Macaca mulatta: one gene and its partner. The protein of the gene in region 2 interacts with the protein of the main gene of each other region in a pairwise test. Links are inferred from orthologs where the notes say so. Each region holds a gene or a part of one and is shown on either strand. Other genes may lie near its edges. The genes, in order: CPSF4 and FIP1L1.

Region 1 (8,736 bases), on a different chromosome or scaffold from region 2:
GGCCAACATGGTAAAACCCTGTCACTATGAAAAATACAAAAATTAGCCAGGCATGGTGGTTTTTACAGCCAGGTGCGCCTGTAATCCCAGCTACTCAGGAGACTGAGTCAGGAGAATCACTGGAACCCGGGAGATGGAGCTTGCAGTGAGCTGAGATTGCGCCACCATACTCCAGCCGGGTGACAAAGTGAGACTCTGTCTCAAAAAAACAAAACCAAACCAACCAAACAAACGAACAAAAAAAAGAACAGGCCAGGAACGGTGGCTCATGCCTGTACTCCCAGCACTTTGGGAGGCCAAGGTGGGCAGATCAGTTCAAGACCAGCCTGGTGAAACTCCATCTGTACTAAAAATAGAAAAAAAATGAGCTGGATGTGGTGCTACATGTCTAATCCCAGCTACTCAGGAGTCTGAGGTAGGAGAATCACTTGAACCCAGGAGACCGAGCTTGCAGTGAGCTGAGATCACGCCACTGCGCTCCAGCCTGAGTGACACAGTGAGACTCTGTATCAGAAAAATAATAATAATAATAAATAAAATAAGAAGTATGGGCCCAAAGGTTAGAAAGCCTAGGTTCAGGTCAGACATAGCTCACTGCAGCCTCACCCTCCTGTGCTCAAGCGATCCTCCCATTTCAGCCTCCTGAGTAGCTGGAACGACAGGTGCGTGCCACCACGCCTAATTTCATTTTTTGGTCGAGATGGGGTCTTGCTATGTGCCCAGGCTGGTCTCGAACTCCTGGACTCAAGCAATCCTCTCACCTTGACCTCCCAAAGCACTGGGATTACAGGAATGAGCCACCATGCCCAGCCTAAAATATTTTGAAGTCTGGTTATATTAGAAGGTTGCCATTGGAAAAGTCTCACAAGTGATGGCAGATTGAACAGATTAAAAACTAGGCCCAGCAGGCCAGGAGCGGTGGCTCACGCCTGTAATCCAGGAACTTTGGGAGGCAAAGGTGGGTGGATCACCTGAGGTCAGGAGTTCGAGACCAGCCTGACATGGTGAACCCCATCTCTACTAAAAATACAAAAATTAGCTGGGCATGACAGCATGTCCCTGTAATCCCAGCTACTCGGGAGGCTGAGGCAGGAGAATCACTTGAACGTGGGAAGCAGAGGTTGCAGTGAGCCAAGATAGCGCCATTGCACTCCAGCCTGAGCAACACAGCAAGACTCTGTCTCAAAAAAACCAACAACGACAACAAACAAAAAACTAGGCCCAGCAAGGGGAGAGACTTGCTGGGGTCCTGCAGCAGTGCAGTGGGTGAGACTGGCCAGTTTGGCCTGGGCTGGCTTAGAACTCAGGTCCATGTAACGTATGGACAGACTCTCCTGACTAGCACCTTTGTGAAACTAGTGCAGGGGGCCTTTATCATTCTGCATCTGGCAAGCCCTGCCACTCCTTCTTACAAGCATGGTGTTTATGTAATTTTCTTTTTATGGGAATGGGGTCTTCATGTTGCCCAGGCTGGAGTGCGATGGCACAGTGGCAAACGCACAATCACTGCAACCTCCAACTTCTGGACTCAAGTGATCCTCCTACCTCAGCCTCCCAATTAACTAGCACTACTGGTGCACACCACCATACCCAGCTAATTTTTTGTAGAGATGTAGTCTCCCTATGTTGCCAGGCTGGTCTAGTACTCCTGGCCTCAAGCAATCCTCCAGCCTTGGTCTCCCAAAGTGTTGGGATTGCAAGCGTAAGCCTCCATGCCCTGCCTTATGTGCATTAATTACAATACACAGAATTACAAAACAAAAAGCAATGATATTGAAATGGCATCAAAATGCTTTAAAAACAAATTTCTGCTATACTAGCATAGATGCTTATTTTCAATGCATTAAATAACAAGACCCTACAATAATTTCAAAGCAGTAACGAATGTAAGTGACAGCTTAAGATACCACCTTGTAGGTGCTGCACAAACTGTTTTTTTTTTTTTTGAGTCTCACTCTGTCGCCAGGCTGGAGTGGGGTGGTGCCATCTCGGCTCAATGCAACCTCTGCCTCCCGGGTTCAAGCGATGCTCATGCCTCAGCCTCCCAAGTAGCTGGGATTACAGGCACGCACCACCACTCCCGACTAATTTTTATATTTTTAGTAGAGACGGGGTTTTGCCATGCTGTCCAGCCTGGTCTTGAACTCCTGACCTCAAGTGATCCTCCTGCGTCGGCCTCCTAAAGTGCTGGAGTGACGGGTGTGAGCCATCACGCCTGGCCCTGCACAAACTCTTATCTGGAACTATCATTTACACTCACCCCACCTTGAAATTATGACACAGTTTCAGGCACTGCTAAGGCTGCTCCAGCAATTGGGAAAGGAAATGCTAAATTTCACAGAGAAAATAGGGGTGTCATTTTGTTCCTATACAATTTCATTACCCCACCCTGGTTAGAAAACCCTGAATTAGACCATACAGTGGCTCATGCCTGTAATCCCAGCACTTTGGGAGGCCCAGGCGAGTCGATCGCTTGGGGCTTGGGGCTAGGAGTTCAAGACCAGCCTGGGCAACATAGCAAGGCCCCCATCTCCACAAAAATTAAAAATAAAAATTTAAAAATTAGCCAAGCGTGGTGGTGCAGCTACTCAAGAGGCTGAGGTGGGAGGATCGCTTGAGCCTGAGAAGTTGAAGCTGCAGTGAGCTATGATCGTACCGCTGTACTCCAGCCTGGGCCACCTAGCGAGAAAAGAAAAAACCCTGAATTAGAGACACGCTGCGGCCGTCCTTCTTCGGAGAGACCCGCCCCTCCTCAGACGCCTACCCGGACCCTCAGGCCAACGCCGACCCCTCTCCACACAGACTTTTGCAGCCTCAGTTTCCCTCCTCGGACGCCCCTGGCTCCAATCCTGGTTCGGGCACTTCCTTCCCCTCTGGCGTGTCTCTGCCCGGATCCCGGGGTTCCTGCGAGGATCACACAAGAACTCACTTGAAGTGTCCGGCGCAGTGCACTCCGACGGGGCTCTCTACCCGGTCCCCGCGACGGACCCGGCTCTCCCACGGATCACCCTCTCCCCTGACGCGCAAGCGCAGCCCGCGTCGCCGACACACGCGGCTGGTTTCAGGTTTCCGGCGAGACTAGGCCGGCGTTCGGCTGGCGGCTAGCCGGGACTAGCGGAGCGGCGGGACTCCGCGCTCGATTGGCAGTGCCTGGACAGGCGCAAGAACCGGCGCGGGCTCTGGGCGCTCCCGGCATCCCTCGGGCGGCGGCGGCGGCGGCGGCTGCGAGGCGCAGGAGGAGCGTGTGCGGCGGGCCCGGCGGCGGGTAGAGAGGCGAGAGGGCTGCAGGAGACCGAGGGGGAGCCGGGCCGGTGGGGCCGCCGCCGCCGCCATGCAGGAAATAATCGCCAGCGTGGACCACATCAAGTTTGACTTGGAGATCGCAGTGGAGCAGCAGCTCGGGGCGCAGCCGCTGCCCTTCCCCGGCATGGACAGTGAGCGCGGGGCCCTGGCGGGAGGGCGAGAGCGACTCGAACCCCGGACCCTCTCCTCTGTGTTCCCGGGACTCCTTCGCCTCGGTCCTGAGACCTCCCCCGGCTTCCTCTGGATCCTGGGACCCCTCCCCTTCGGTCGCGGGACTCCTCCCTCTATGTCTTGAGAGTCCCTCCCACCTCCTCCGGGTCCTGGGACCCTCCCCTTTAGTTCCCGAACTCCCTCATCTGTGATCCGGGACTCTTCTCACTCCATCCTGAGACCTCCTCTTCTGGATCCCGGGACGCTCCCCCTTGGTTCCAGGACTCCTGACTCCCAGGCCCCCATTTCCACCGTCTGGGGACCCCTTTTCCCCTCACTCGAACTCAGGAGTTCTCTGCCTCGGATCTTTGGCCCCCTGCGGCTGTTTAAAGGTAATCTGTAGGCGGGTAGGACCTTGTGCGTTCGCTTAATTCTTGAATAAGGGTGGGTTATCCTGGATTGGAACTCTCCCTCAACACTCTCCCAGCTACAGGAGAGTACTAGGATATCGCACCCCCTACCTCCCAACCCCGCTACATTGAGCGTCTCTTCTTTTTGCTTTCATCAAAACTAGGCTGTTGGAGGAGGCGTGCTGAGGGAAGGACCACCTCTCTGTAGGAGACCCCAGCTAGACTCTTAAACTTCCTTCTAGGACTCTCTCTCCTGGGAGCTCATCCTTAGTTTTTGGCCTGTCCCTACTTTTTTCTGGACCCCAACTCTGAGTTGTTCATCACACCCAGCAGCTGGTGTGGTCCCTTAGCCTGAACTCCCTTCACTCCTCCCTTTCACATGGTGGCTCCTGGCTCCCCATATCTTGTACTTTAAAAGAAACCGGTAGTTTTCTTTGTGTCTTCTTTCCTATCCGGACACACTTGAAATCTAATGCTATAGCCTTAAAGTTCGCGGGCTTGTGGAAGTCACTGAGTTCAATCCACAGATGGGGAAACTGAGACCCAAGCAGGGGAAGGGACTTGCTGACGACCACTCAGTGCATAGCAGAGCCAGGCAAGTTCTCCAGTGTTGTGTGCTGTCGCCCCGCACTACCAGCGGGGTCTCCCGCACTACCAGCGGGGTCTCCCAGCAGCCTCTCTCCCCTCAGGCGGCCACACCTTCTCATGCACATGTGACCTCTGAGTCTGTCCCTTTCTGTGGTTTTTTTGTTGTTGTTTGTTTGCTTTTGAGACAGGGGCTTCTTTTTTGCCCAGGCTGGGTGCAGTGGCGCAATCATGGCTCAATGCAGCCTCGACTTCCCAGGCTCTGACAATCCTCCCACCTCAGTTTCCCAAGTAGTTGGGACCACAGGTGTGCACCAACACGCCTGGCAAATTTTGTGTGTGTGTGTTTCTTGGTAGAGACACTGTTTCACCATGTTTCCCAGGGTTGGTCTTGAACTCCTGGGCTCAAGCGATCCTTTCACCTCGGCCTTCAGAAGTACTGGGATTACAGGCATGAGCCACCACACCTGGCCTATATTGGCCTATATATATATATATATATGTGTGTGTGTGTGTGTGTGTGTGTATATATAAATTTTTTTTGCTGCCTGTCCCACAACTTTACATGGTGATACTTCTGTACAAGATAGTTTCGTTGGAAGTTAAGTCATCAAGAAAAACAAGATAGTGCTTATAAAGAGGCATCATCAGACCACCCTATTTGACACACGCACAAACACCATCGCCACTGTACACCCCCTAAAAAGCAGCTGCTGAAATTCACACACACACACCCCCTCTTACCTACCCCTCGAGTCCTGTGATAACTTCATCCCTGCACATGTGGCCTTTTCCTGTCTCTTTTTTTTTGAGATGGAGTTTCGCTGTTGTTGCCCAGGCTGGAGTGCAATGGCGCGATCTCAGCTTACCGCAACCTCCATCTCCCGGGTTCAAGCAATTCTCCTGCCTCGGCCTCCTGAGTAGCTGGGATTATAGCCTCCCGCCACCATGCCCAACTAATTTTTGTATTTTCAGTAGAGATGAGGTTTCACCATGTTGGCCAGGCTGGTCTTGAACTCCTGACCTCAAATGATCCGCCTGCCTTGGCCTCCCAAAGTGCTGGGATTACGGGCGTGAGCCACTGCGCCCAGTCGGCCTTTTCCTGTCTTGATGGCACTGGCTTGAGACCATGGAACCACCCATGCAGGGCAGATCTTTCCCTTCCATCCTTCTGCCACCTGACAGATCCACAAGCCTGTGAGGGGAGGTACAGTGGTGAGGGGCCCACATACCTGTTCTTGAGGCCAGGGACACGCCTGGCCCTGGGTGCTGCCCCAGCCAGGGCTTCAGAGTCGGTAGGCACCCTCCACACTCACTGCTTGTCCATATCCTGTTCAGTTAAAGCCCAGTGAGGCCACAGCCCTTCCTCACCCATCCCTCCTCTTCATGCCCATCTGAGGTTTGGGAATAACTGTCACTTTGCCCATAAGGCATACTCATCCCATCCACATGAGGCTCAGTTCCCAGAACTGTGGATTTCTGAGCAGAAACAACTCTAACCTCTGAAGAGAAAGACCAGACCAGAGATACTTTCAGAATTTTTTTTTTTTTTTTTTTTTTTTTTTTTTTTTTTGGAGACAGAGTCTTGCTCTTGTTGCCCAGGCTGGAGCACAGTGATGCAATCTTGGCTCACTGCAACCTCTGCCTCTGGGTTCAAGCGATTCTCCTGCCTCAGCCTCCCGAGTAGCTGGGATTACAGGCATGTGCCACCACGCCTGGCTAATTTTTGCATTTTTAGTAGAGACGGGGTTTCTCTACATGAACTCCTGACGGCAAGTGATCCACCCGGCAAGTGATCCACCCGCCGCAAGTGATCCACCCGCCTCGGCCTCCGGAAGTGCTAGGATTACAGACGTGAGTCACCACACCTGGCCACTTTCAGACTTTTTGAAATGCAAATAGAGTGACCTCCCTGTGACAGCCAAGGAATCTTTTGTGATTTAGTAAGGGGGGGCACGTTAAGTGGACTTCAGAGATGCTGTCATTGGTTTTTCAGCAATTCTAAAATGGTTACTTGTAAGGAAACTGTTTCTGATGCCAAGGTCAGTTTAGTCTGGAAACCGGGTGCTGGTGAATTCCTGGACTCATCAGAACAGCTGGTCCCTGGAGCCCACTGAATTCCAGCACACTCTTAACTGTGGGAATGAAAGGCTGTGCTTTTTTTTTTCTTTTTTCTTTTTGTTAACAAGCAACATAATCAAAAACAAAAGCACAACAACCTTAAAGCTGAAACAGCAATAAGTCAAACTGCTGCGGCAGTTCACAGATGTACCTGGGGTACATGCTTCCTCATTTCGAGGCAGGACATAGGCACATGACTGTGCATTTAGGTATATATGTGACCAAAAAGAATGAGAGAAATGAATCCCAGCACTTTGGGAGGCCGAGGCGGGCGGATCACAAGGTCAGGAGATCGAGACCACGGTGAAACCCCGTCTCTACTAAAAATACAAAATATTAGCCGGGCGTGGTGGCGGGCGCCTGTAGTCCCAGCTACTCAGGAGGCTGAGGCAGAATAGCATGAACCCGGGAGGCGGAGCTTGCAGTGAGCCAAGATCGCACCACTGCACTCCAGCCTGGGTAACAGAGTGAGACTCCGTCTCAAAAAAAAAAAAAAAAAGAATGAGAGAAATGGAAAACACTGGAGAACAGAAAGTATCAAGAACCTTTCATTAGGCAGTCCCAAAGCGCTCTGCTCTTTTCCTCTTCTCTACCTCTTTATCCTCTGTGGTTCCAGTTCCAGCTGAACTTGTGACAATCCCAAATCGCTCCTTCCTCTTTTTCAGTTTCTTGTCATCTTCAGACTTTCTGGAGATTGAAGAGACATTCAAACCAAATCTTTTTTTTTTTTTTTTTTTTTGAGACGGAGTCTCGCTCTGTCGCCCGGGCTGGAGTGCAGTGGCCGGATCTCAGCTCACTGCAAGCTCCGCCTCCCGGGTTTACGCCATTCTCCTGCCTTAGCCTCCCAAGTAGCTGGGACTACAGGCGCCTGCCACCTCGCCCGGCTAGTTTTTTGTATTTTTTAGTAGAGACAGGGTTTCACCGTGTTAGCCAGGATGGTCTCAATCTCCTGACCTCGTGATCCGCCCGTCTCAGCCTCCCAAAGTGCTAGGATTTCAGGCTTGAGCCACCGCGCCCGGCCCAAACCAAATCTTTGAGCTCTTTCCTTGGACTTATCCAAGTTAACCATAGGTTTGTTCTCAGGTGACAGACTTGTGTTGGAACTGAAGAAATCCCCAACCTAGCTGCCCAGGTAGCTTTCTTACTCTCCAAGCTCACACGTACACTGAATCGTTCAGCCCTCTTCTGCATTCTCTCAGAATGGTATTCAGATGTAATTTTCATTGAGTGGTATTTCAGATGTAATTTTCACCACTTTCTTCTCTGCTGCCACATCAACAGTTTTTTTTCAGGGGGTTCTTCCTCTTTGACAGGGGGTTTGTTTCTTCTTCTGTTTCATCTCCCAGTACATCTTCATTTGCCTCCCTTCAGCATGTTCTTCAAGATACGCCTGGAGTCTGTGGATAAGATCTTGCTTTATTCCCTTGGTCTCCAAACCACAAGTAAGACATTCTTGTTTAGTTCAGCAAGCTTCAGCTTATGGAGCTCCACCATCTCAGTTACCATCTTGTTACCCCCTCCGGGTGTGCTTTTTTAATAATTGTATGTGGGGTGGGTTGCGGTGGCTCACGCCTGTAATCCTAGCACTTTGGGAAGCCAAGGCAGGCAAATCACGAGGTCAGGAGTTCGAAACCAGCCTGTAATCATTGTATGTGGGCCAGGCGTGGTGGCTCACGTCTGTAATCCCAGCACTTTGGGAGGCCGAGGTAAGCGGATCACTTGAAGCCAGTAGTTTGAGACCAGCCTGGCCAACATGGCAAAACCCCCTCTCTACTAAAAATACAAAAAAATTAGCCAGGCGTGGTGGTGCACACCTATAATCCCAGCTACTCAGGAAGCTGAGGCAGGAGACTCTCTTGAACTGGGGAGGCGGAGGTTGCAGTGAGCCGAGATCGCACCACTGCACTCTAGTCTGGGTGACAGAGTGAGACTGTCTCAAAACACTAGAAAAAAATTGTATATGGATGTTGCATATTAAAAGCAGTCCTCTGTGTCTGCACTTAACGTGCTTCCCTTTGGACTAGTGTCTCAGAGGCACTGCCTCTTCCTTGAAGCCTGACCCTTCTCAGAGGCCCTGACTGTCTATACTTCTGTGAGATCATTCCTCCCCTCTGCCTCAAGTTAAGGTGTCCGTGAATTCGCCTTCCTGGAGGAAGGTGTCAGCTGG
Region 2 (8,092 bases):
GACAGTGGTTTTTAGGTGGAGGACACTGCTTAAAAATAAATGTAGTAGATGCATGGCTTGGAGGAAGTACATGGCTGGAGGATAAGGTAGATGAAAAGAGATGGTTGAAATCACTTATGAAAGGAGTTAGGATGCATTTGCTATGTCTTTGTAGACCTTGCAGGGTTGTCCAACCAGCCGACGTTATGTTGTTGTTGTTGTTGTTGTTGTTGTTGTTCTGTTTTGGTTTGTTTTAGGCTTTTAGCTGCCCAAAGCCGTGGTTTTTAGTTTCTGTCTCCAGTGATAAGTGGAAAAGAGGGTTGATGAAGGGGCTTTACTGGCCTAACCAGAACAGAAACTGAGGACCTATGACTGTATTCTCTCACTTAGACACCCCGATTAGGTTTTTAGATAGATTATATTATTTGAAAAGGTATTACCTTTAGACACTTTAGATTTCTATAGAGTAGAAACTATTGTAGCATCAGTAGTTGAGATGGGTTAGATGGAGAGACATTGACTAATAGATGTGAAGTAGTTGTCCAGGTGAGATGATAATCTAGACTAAGGCAGCAGTAGTAGAGAGATGAATGGGAAAATAGTATATTTGAATATTTGAGAAACAAATATAGTCAGGCATGTGGTATACACCTGTAGTCCCATGGACTTGGGAGGCTGAGGTAGGAGGATCGCTTGAGCCTTGGAGTTTCAGGGCAGCCTGGGCCATATAGTAAGATCTTGTCTCAAAGAATAAAAAGAAAGAAATAACAAATAACATGGGTAACTGGTTGGTTGTGGATGGAGGAGGAGATAAAGGGACTTAAAGATTTCTAGAGCAGTTAATTGGGTCCAGGTGGGCGCTACTGCTCCCACCTCCCACAAAATAGATTCATTTGATATGTTTATTTTGAAATTCCTATAGAAAATCCAAGTATAGGATCTAGCATTTAGAGTGGTCTGAGAGTTCATGGGGATCTATTGGACATTATATCAAATTTGCCTCTGCAAATTTTCATACCACTAAGCTTCTCTACGCAGAATGAATACAAAGGCTTGTGGCTTGAAAAAGAAAAATGATGTTTTAAAAGGCAGAATGGGGAATAGAAAGTAGCTAGATGGAAAGCAAAGAAGCTCATCTATTGAAGACTTAGGGCTAAGCCTTTTATAAAAATGCCATTTTATTCTATAGCAGTCCTGTAAGAGAACAGTTTAGAGAAAATCCTTGATTTTTCTACATTTGTAGAAAAATCATGTACATCATATGTAGATAGCACTAAGTCACTTTTGCTGAATTTGGATTGTTAAAATGTAAACATCGTGAAGGCAGGGACCAAATTTGTCCAGCTCCTCATACTTTTTCCTTAGCCTAGAATCATACCTGACATGGTTTTGGTGCTCAGTAAGCATTACATGAATTAATCAGTCTATAAAGTGATTATTTCAAGTTGGTGATGATAGTACTGCTTGACAGTAATATTTGGTCCACTTTGTAATTCTTGCATTTCTAGCTGTGAAGCTACAATTATTTGATACAATTACTTAAACATTTTATTGCATTTACATTTTTCTTTTTTAAGTGGAAAAGAAAAATGACAGTGCAAATGTAACTCAACCTAAGTCTTATATTTAGTACATTAGAGACAAAAGATGGAAGTAATTATTATTAGACCCAAAGCAGTGAATCTAAAGTCCAGATGGCTGAACTTCTGAGAGAAAAGAACCAAATATGCCACATGAATGTAATGTGAGAAATATATCATTGAAAATACCTATGACTTGAGGTCTTACTGGTATCTTTTTTTTTTTGAGACGGAGTCTCGCTCTGTGGCCCAGGCTGGAGTGCAGTGGCGTGTTCTCGGCTCACTGCAAGCTCTGCCTCCTGGGTTCATGCCATTGCCCTGCCTCAGCCTCCTGAGTAGCTGGGACTACAGGTGCCCGCCACCACGCCTGGCTAATTTTTTCTATTTTTTAGTAGAGGGGGGGTTTCACCGTATTAGCCAGGATGGTCTCGATCTCCTGACCTCGTGATTTGCCCGTCTCAGCCTCCCAAAGTGCTGGGATTACAGGTGTGAGCCATCGCCTGCCGTCTTACTGATATCTTTTTGTTCAGTGGGAGTTGGTCCTTCTTTGCCCATTCCTGTTTTCTTCTAATTTCCCTAGTAACAGAAAAGTCTATTTTAATTAGTATATTTGATAATACTACGCATATATAAGAATCCATTATATAAAAAAAGTAAAGAACTATCTGTAACCCCTTACAGAAAATTTATATGAGGCTCATTTATACAAGTATAAATGCAATGAAATATTCAAATAATTATATACGAGTCTTAGATGTCTTGGCCAAGATTACACTAACAACTGACAAAACATTTGAATGTGGATTGGTCCAACTTCAGAAATTTTTTTCTTTATCACTGTGTATTATATTACATCTAAAAAGGTGCAGCTTAATACTTTTTTCAAATATATGCATTCATGTAACTACAACCAGATCAAGATACGAAACATAATTGGCATCCTAGAAGTTTCTCTCATTTTTCCTCTTGGTCATTAACCACCCACCACCGGTAAACACTGTTCTGCTTTCATGCTAGACTTATTTTTGAATTTCATGACAATAAATTTCTATTATGAACTCCATGAATGGTTGAAAAAGGATTTATTAACAATATCAACTGTGGTAAGAACTGAAAGGCCACTGGATTTAACAACAAGTTGGAGGAATTTTACTTATGCTTAAGATTGCTGTATGTGTAATAACTGGCAGGCAAGGAAATGAAGAAAAGGGGTATAAACTATGTTTCCCTTCTTAGCCTTATTTCTTGTGAAGTTTGTTACAGTAGAATGTTGAGTTAGTGGCAAAGAGATTTTTGAAATGGAAACAAGTCAGTTTTTTTTTTAATGTTTTTGCCTTTTATTGAGCAGGTGACTTTAGAAACTAGTTTAAAATGTTTTTTAAAATGTGTATTAGCTGGGCACGGTGACTCACTCTTGTAATCTCAGCATTTTGGGAAGCCAAGGCGGGAGGATTGCTTGAGCTCAGGAGTTCGAGACCAGCCTGGATGACATGCTGTGAGATCTCATCTATCCAAAATTTAAAAAATAAAAATAGAAATTATAAAAAATAGAAAAATAAAAATAGAAATATTACTGCTTTGTTTAAGCTTTTCAGGATAATTTTTGGTTTTTTGTTTGTTTTTAGGAGTTATGGTACAGCACCTGTAAATCTTAACATCAAGACAGGAGGAAGAGTTTATGGAACTACAGGTAAAGTTTGTATTTTCTGTTGCATCAGTAGAGAAATAAGGCACATATCTTAAATAGGTCTTAATCACTCTTTTTTTAGTGGGACACAGAGTCTGACTTTGTCACCCAGACTGGAGTACAGTGGCGCAATCTTAGTTCACTGCACCCTCCATCTTCCAGGCTCAAACCATCCTCCCACTTCACCTTCTCAAATAGCTGGGACTGTGGGCGTGCACCACCATGCTTGGCCAATTTTTGTGTTTTTATGTAGAGACCGGGTCTCGCCATGTTGTTCAGGCTGGTTTTGAACTTTTGAGCTTAAGTGATCTGCCTGCCTTGGCCTCCCAGACTGTTGGGATTCCAAGTGTGCGCTGCTGCGCCTGGCCAAGGTGATAATATAATAGCTCTTTTTAAAGGTAATTTTTGACCATACATCACAGGGACTGGTAAATTTTTTCTGTAAATAGTCCAGTAGCACATATTTTAGGCTCTGCTTTGTTTGGAATGCTTGCCAGGTTTTTTGCCAGGGATAGTAAAAAAATGTTTGTTTTCTGTTTGTGTGTGTATGTGTGCCAGGAATAGTAAAAAGGTGTTTATATCTTCTGTTTGTCTATGGTATGTCCCAGCTTCTTGCAAGTGTAGCTCCTTCATTTTGTAATTTTATAAAACAGGAACAAAAGTCAAAGGAGTAGACCTTGATGCACCTGGAAGCATTAATGGAGTTCCACTTTTAGAGGTAGATTTGGATTCTTTTGAAGATAAACCATGGCGTAAACCTGGTAAGACTGTTGTGGATTATATTAATTTCAATATTTTTAGTGTGAAGTCATCAGAAAATTTTTTGAGCATCAATTTAGAATTTTATTTTTTCATTATAATTTTAATTGTCTTAAGCAAATGATGAGTAATAGTGACTTGGATTATTAAATCTTACTGGCGGCCTCATATTACTTAAAATGTAGACTTTATTATAATGACATTTCTAAAGGAAATAATTTGATCAAAAATTTTATGGTCTTTTTGCCACCATAAATGATAGAGTGATAACTGATAGAAGTCTAAATTTATATTTTTATAGTTTAGTATATTTTTGATGCTGCATAAAAATAGAGCTGAAATATTTGTACACTAAAGATGTGTTTTATCTTTAGGTGCTGATCTTTCTGATTATTTTAATTATGGGTTTAATGAAGATACCTGGAAAGCTTACTGTGAAAAACAAAAAAGGATACGAATGGGACTTGAAGTTATACCAGTAACTTCTACTACAAATAAAATTACGGTAATTAAGAAATACTCCGGAATACCCTTGGCTTGTCTACCGTCCCACTTTTACTCCCCAAATAAATCACTTCCCTATAAAAGTGGTTAAATGATATACGATAGTTTAAAAATTCCATTTTGTTTACCATGTTTGTTTTTCCCTTCCCTCCCTTTTAGAGTTTTGTATTAATGATTATCTGATGTTCTTACTTTCAAATCACAGACTAGCCACAGCTAGTTTGTCTTTATATGGCCTATTAATTAAATATTATGTGGTATCTTAATGGGGAATATGTTATTTAACTTAGGCCGAAGACTGTACTATGGAAGTTACACCAGGTGCAGAGATCCAAGATGGCAGATTCAATCTTTTTAAGGTGAATTTTAGTAAATTATCCTTGGTTGCTCTCATTTTTTGTTCTTGAGTCTGCTCCCATACCACTACTCAAGGGACAAGATTAAAGTGGAAATAGCTACCTTTTTTCCAAACCTTCAGCTTCCTGGTGACTTACAAATTTGCTGATTGTTGTTTTATCTCCACTTTTGCAAGCATGTGAATTTATAGCCTATTATACTAACAAATGCCAAGTAAAACTGTTCTTTGCTATATGTTGTGATTTCATTTTGAGTTGTAATACGTGTTTGTAGGATAGAAAAGTTAGTGGCAACAGATTAAGCTCTCATTGTAGATAATACTCTAATCTTTATCAACAGAATTGGAGACTTTTTTGTTTTCTTTAAAAAAAACGGTAAGGAAGTGGCATACTGTTTATCTCTATGATACTGGTAACACTGATACCATTGGTGTAATGCCCCGATAGCTCAAGATATCTTCAAAAATCTTAGACATTCTCTGAGAGGCTTTAAGAACTCAACAGAATGAGATAAAGCCATTGATTTTAAAAATTGGTACTTGAAAGGAGTAGGTTTATGTGAGAGACTTTGAGGTTGATACTACAACTTGTGTATCAAGTCTCGTTTCTGGCTTCTCCATTGCATGGTATGATCACAGACCCAGTCCAAAGAATAATACTATATTGTCATAGTTCTTTTATGGAAAACTGGTTGTGTACTCTTTTTTCTTTACCTTGATGGTTGATTATTGTATTGAATGACACTGAGATGAAGATTGGGAGTGGCTTTTAGATTGGGTTATATACTCAGGGAACTTTAGTGGACTGGAAAAAGACCTCTGCTCCCCTTTTGGGTTTGCAGCCCTGTCCACCAGAATACTGCCTTATGCAGTGTGTGTGCTGTGTCTGCAGATAAACCACTCTACTGTACACAGTTCTATATAGATAATTTTATTTTTAATTTACATTCTACTTTGCATATTTGGTTCTTTTGCAAATATTTTGAAAGTGTGTGGTGATGTCTGTTGTATTTTAAAGGGTCATCAGGTTTTTTTGTGTTATATTGTCTATAATGGCATTGAATATATTAAACTTAACTACAATGGGTAGAAAAGTTGTCTTAATGAACTAGTTCATTAGCAGCAGTGCATTTTATTTTATTTTTTAATAGAAACGAGAACTGCCATCATAAACTGTTAGCTTCTGTATACTTTATTTTTTGTAGTAGACTTTTAAAAAGAGAATAAAAAGAAACTCCTAGGGGTCAGTCTTATTGAAGGTAGCCATTATGAATGTGTATTTTATATACATACTGTGTACTGAAAAACTTATTTTGAAGTTTCTTTTGGTTATGTGAGAGGAGGTCAGAGTGTTCCATTCTGATTGGATTCTGAATGAAAGATTTGAATTTGATGGGTACAGTCTTCATGGTTTTCTTGCCTTGACAGTGTGTTTAAATACTAATATGTTTGGTAGAAATACTGATTTGGGAAGAGGGTGTGTATTAAGACTATGTGTGGCAAACATTTTTTCTTTATGTATATTGTGGTCTGTAAGAAATGTTGGAAATAGGGCCATAATGAGCAGGACATTGATTTTAAACTAGCCTGCAAACATTTGTGTGGCCAATAGGAAGCTGTTTGAAAGTTCCTGAGCAGTAGAATGAAGTGCAGATCTGGTTTTTAGAAAAGGAACTGGCAGCAGGATGGGCTGTAGAATGAAAGGGATATGAAATAGATAGGGTTATGTTGCCATACTATAGGAATGAAATGAACTAGGGCCTGAACTCACTTACGAGGGTGAATGGGCAAAGGAGTGGATTTAAGAATTAAAATTTATTTTCATATCTACTGCAAATAGAATTTTTTCATCCTTAAGTGTGAGACAACCCATCAGCCTCTTTAAGATAACTTTATTTACTATTCATTAAATAATTTTCAAACCCAGTAACAAGTAGAATAGTACACATGAACCCTTAGGTGCTTATGCAGCTTCAACACTTAACGGTGTTTTGACATTCTTGAGGTAACAGCCTTTTATATACTTCAATATGATTAAAGTTTTACTAAAAAGCAAAATAAAGGAAAAAATTTAACAGGTGTAAAAATAAAGCCACTCATTTGGGTGCAAAAACAATTGTGTAATAATTTAATTAGAGTGAGGGGCAAGAGAGAAGTGACTAGTGGGAATAGATAATATGTATGCATGAGAAAACACTGACTACAACGATTTCTTAAAATATTTTTTATTCATTTGTGCGCACACGCATAGCTCTTTCCCCCCCCCCCCCGCCCCCAACTGTGAATCTATGAGCTTTGTCACCAGTTTTCTGAAAATTTACAGTTACGTGTCTTGGTCTGTTTTCATCCATTGTACCAAGCACTCAGTTACGCCGTCTCGATTTGGAAGCACTTATGCTTCACTTGTGGAACACTTTCTCTTTTACTTTTTTCTCTGCTTTCTGTTCTATTCTAGATAAATATTGGATATCTTCGAATGGTCTTCTAAATTTTTTTTATTGTTTTTTTCGTCTTTTCCATTATCTGGGAGAATTTTTTATTCTTAAAATGTTTCCACTTAGTTTTCATTTCTGCTGTTAATTTCCAAGAAAAGTTTTCTTTATTATTTAGTTGTGGCATCTTATTGTTCATGCCTACAGTAATGCAATATCTTTTTCCCCCCTCTTTCAAAGGATATTAATGATAGGCTGTTTTGTTTCTGTTAGATTTTCTTTTCCTGCATAGTCTGTTTTCAACTTGATTATTTTAGTTAGTACTTTTAGCTTCTGACTTTGACTTTCCTGAGATGTTTGTTGATTGTTGGCCATACACTTATGTAAGGGTGGACTGCTAAAATTGATTGGAAGCTCTGTGCATCTGAATAGAACTTGCTTGACTGCAGGCTTCACGAGAGGGCTGTTTTTTCACATTCCCTGCTGTAGTTTTAGGTGTTTTTCTTTTTGTGGTAATCAGATTTGTTTCAGATAAAATATTCCAGTATTCTATCTAGAGGGTATATACTTGGCTAATGCAAATGTTCTGGTAACTGGAGCTTCTAATTTCTGAATTTTTGAGGGTCCCAACATGATAATCATTGTCTTTGCTTTCTCATTGCTGACTTAGGATTCAGTTTTCTTTGGTCTGCTCAGTCAGTTACTATTTTTTAATCTAATTTCAAAGTTCTAAATTTTGTTGCCTTCTTAATTTTTTTCCTGTGGGTTGAAACAAAATTGTGATAATTCATTTATG

What was found.
Region 1: the proteins of FIP1L1 (region 2) and CPSF4 interact in binary tests that used the Homo sapiens proteins (3 or more experiments, as listed by UniProt). The two-hybrid records come from large-scale screens. The link is inferred for Macaca mulatta from reciprocal best matches to the Homo sapiens genes FIP1L1 and CPSF4.

Annotation. Positions count from the first base shown.
Region 1 is NC_133408.1:46,665,900-46,674,635, forward strand, and holds the start of CPSF4 (cleavage and polyadenylation specificity factor subunit 4), read left to right. Parts: upstream 1-3,220; 5' UTR 3,221-3,331; coding exon 3,332-3,434; exon of another isoform or gene 3,435-3,516; intron 3,517-3,674; exon of another isoform or gene 3,675-3,845; intron 3,846-6,989; exon of another isoform or gene 6,990-7,286; intron 7,287-7,579; exon of another isoform or gene 7,580-8,021; intron 8,022-8,736. UniProt on the Homo sapiens protein: Component of the cleavage and polyadenylation specificity factor (CPSF) complex that play a key role in pre-mRNA 3'-end formation, recognizing the AAUAAA signal sequence and interacting with poly(A) polymerase and other factors to bring about cleavage and poly(A) addition.
Region 2 is NC_133410.1:80,107,024-80,115,115, reverse strand, and holds part of FIP1L1 (pre-mRNA 3'-end-processing factor FIP1), read left to right. Parts: intron 1-3,184; coding exon 3,185-3,249; intron 3,250-3,899; coding exon 3,900-4,007; intron 4,008-4,379; coding exon 4,380-4,510; intron 4,511-4,799; coding exon 4,800-4,868; intron 4,869-8,092.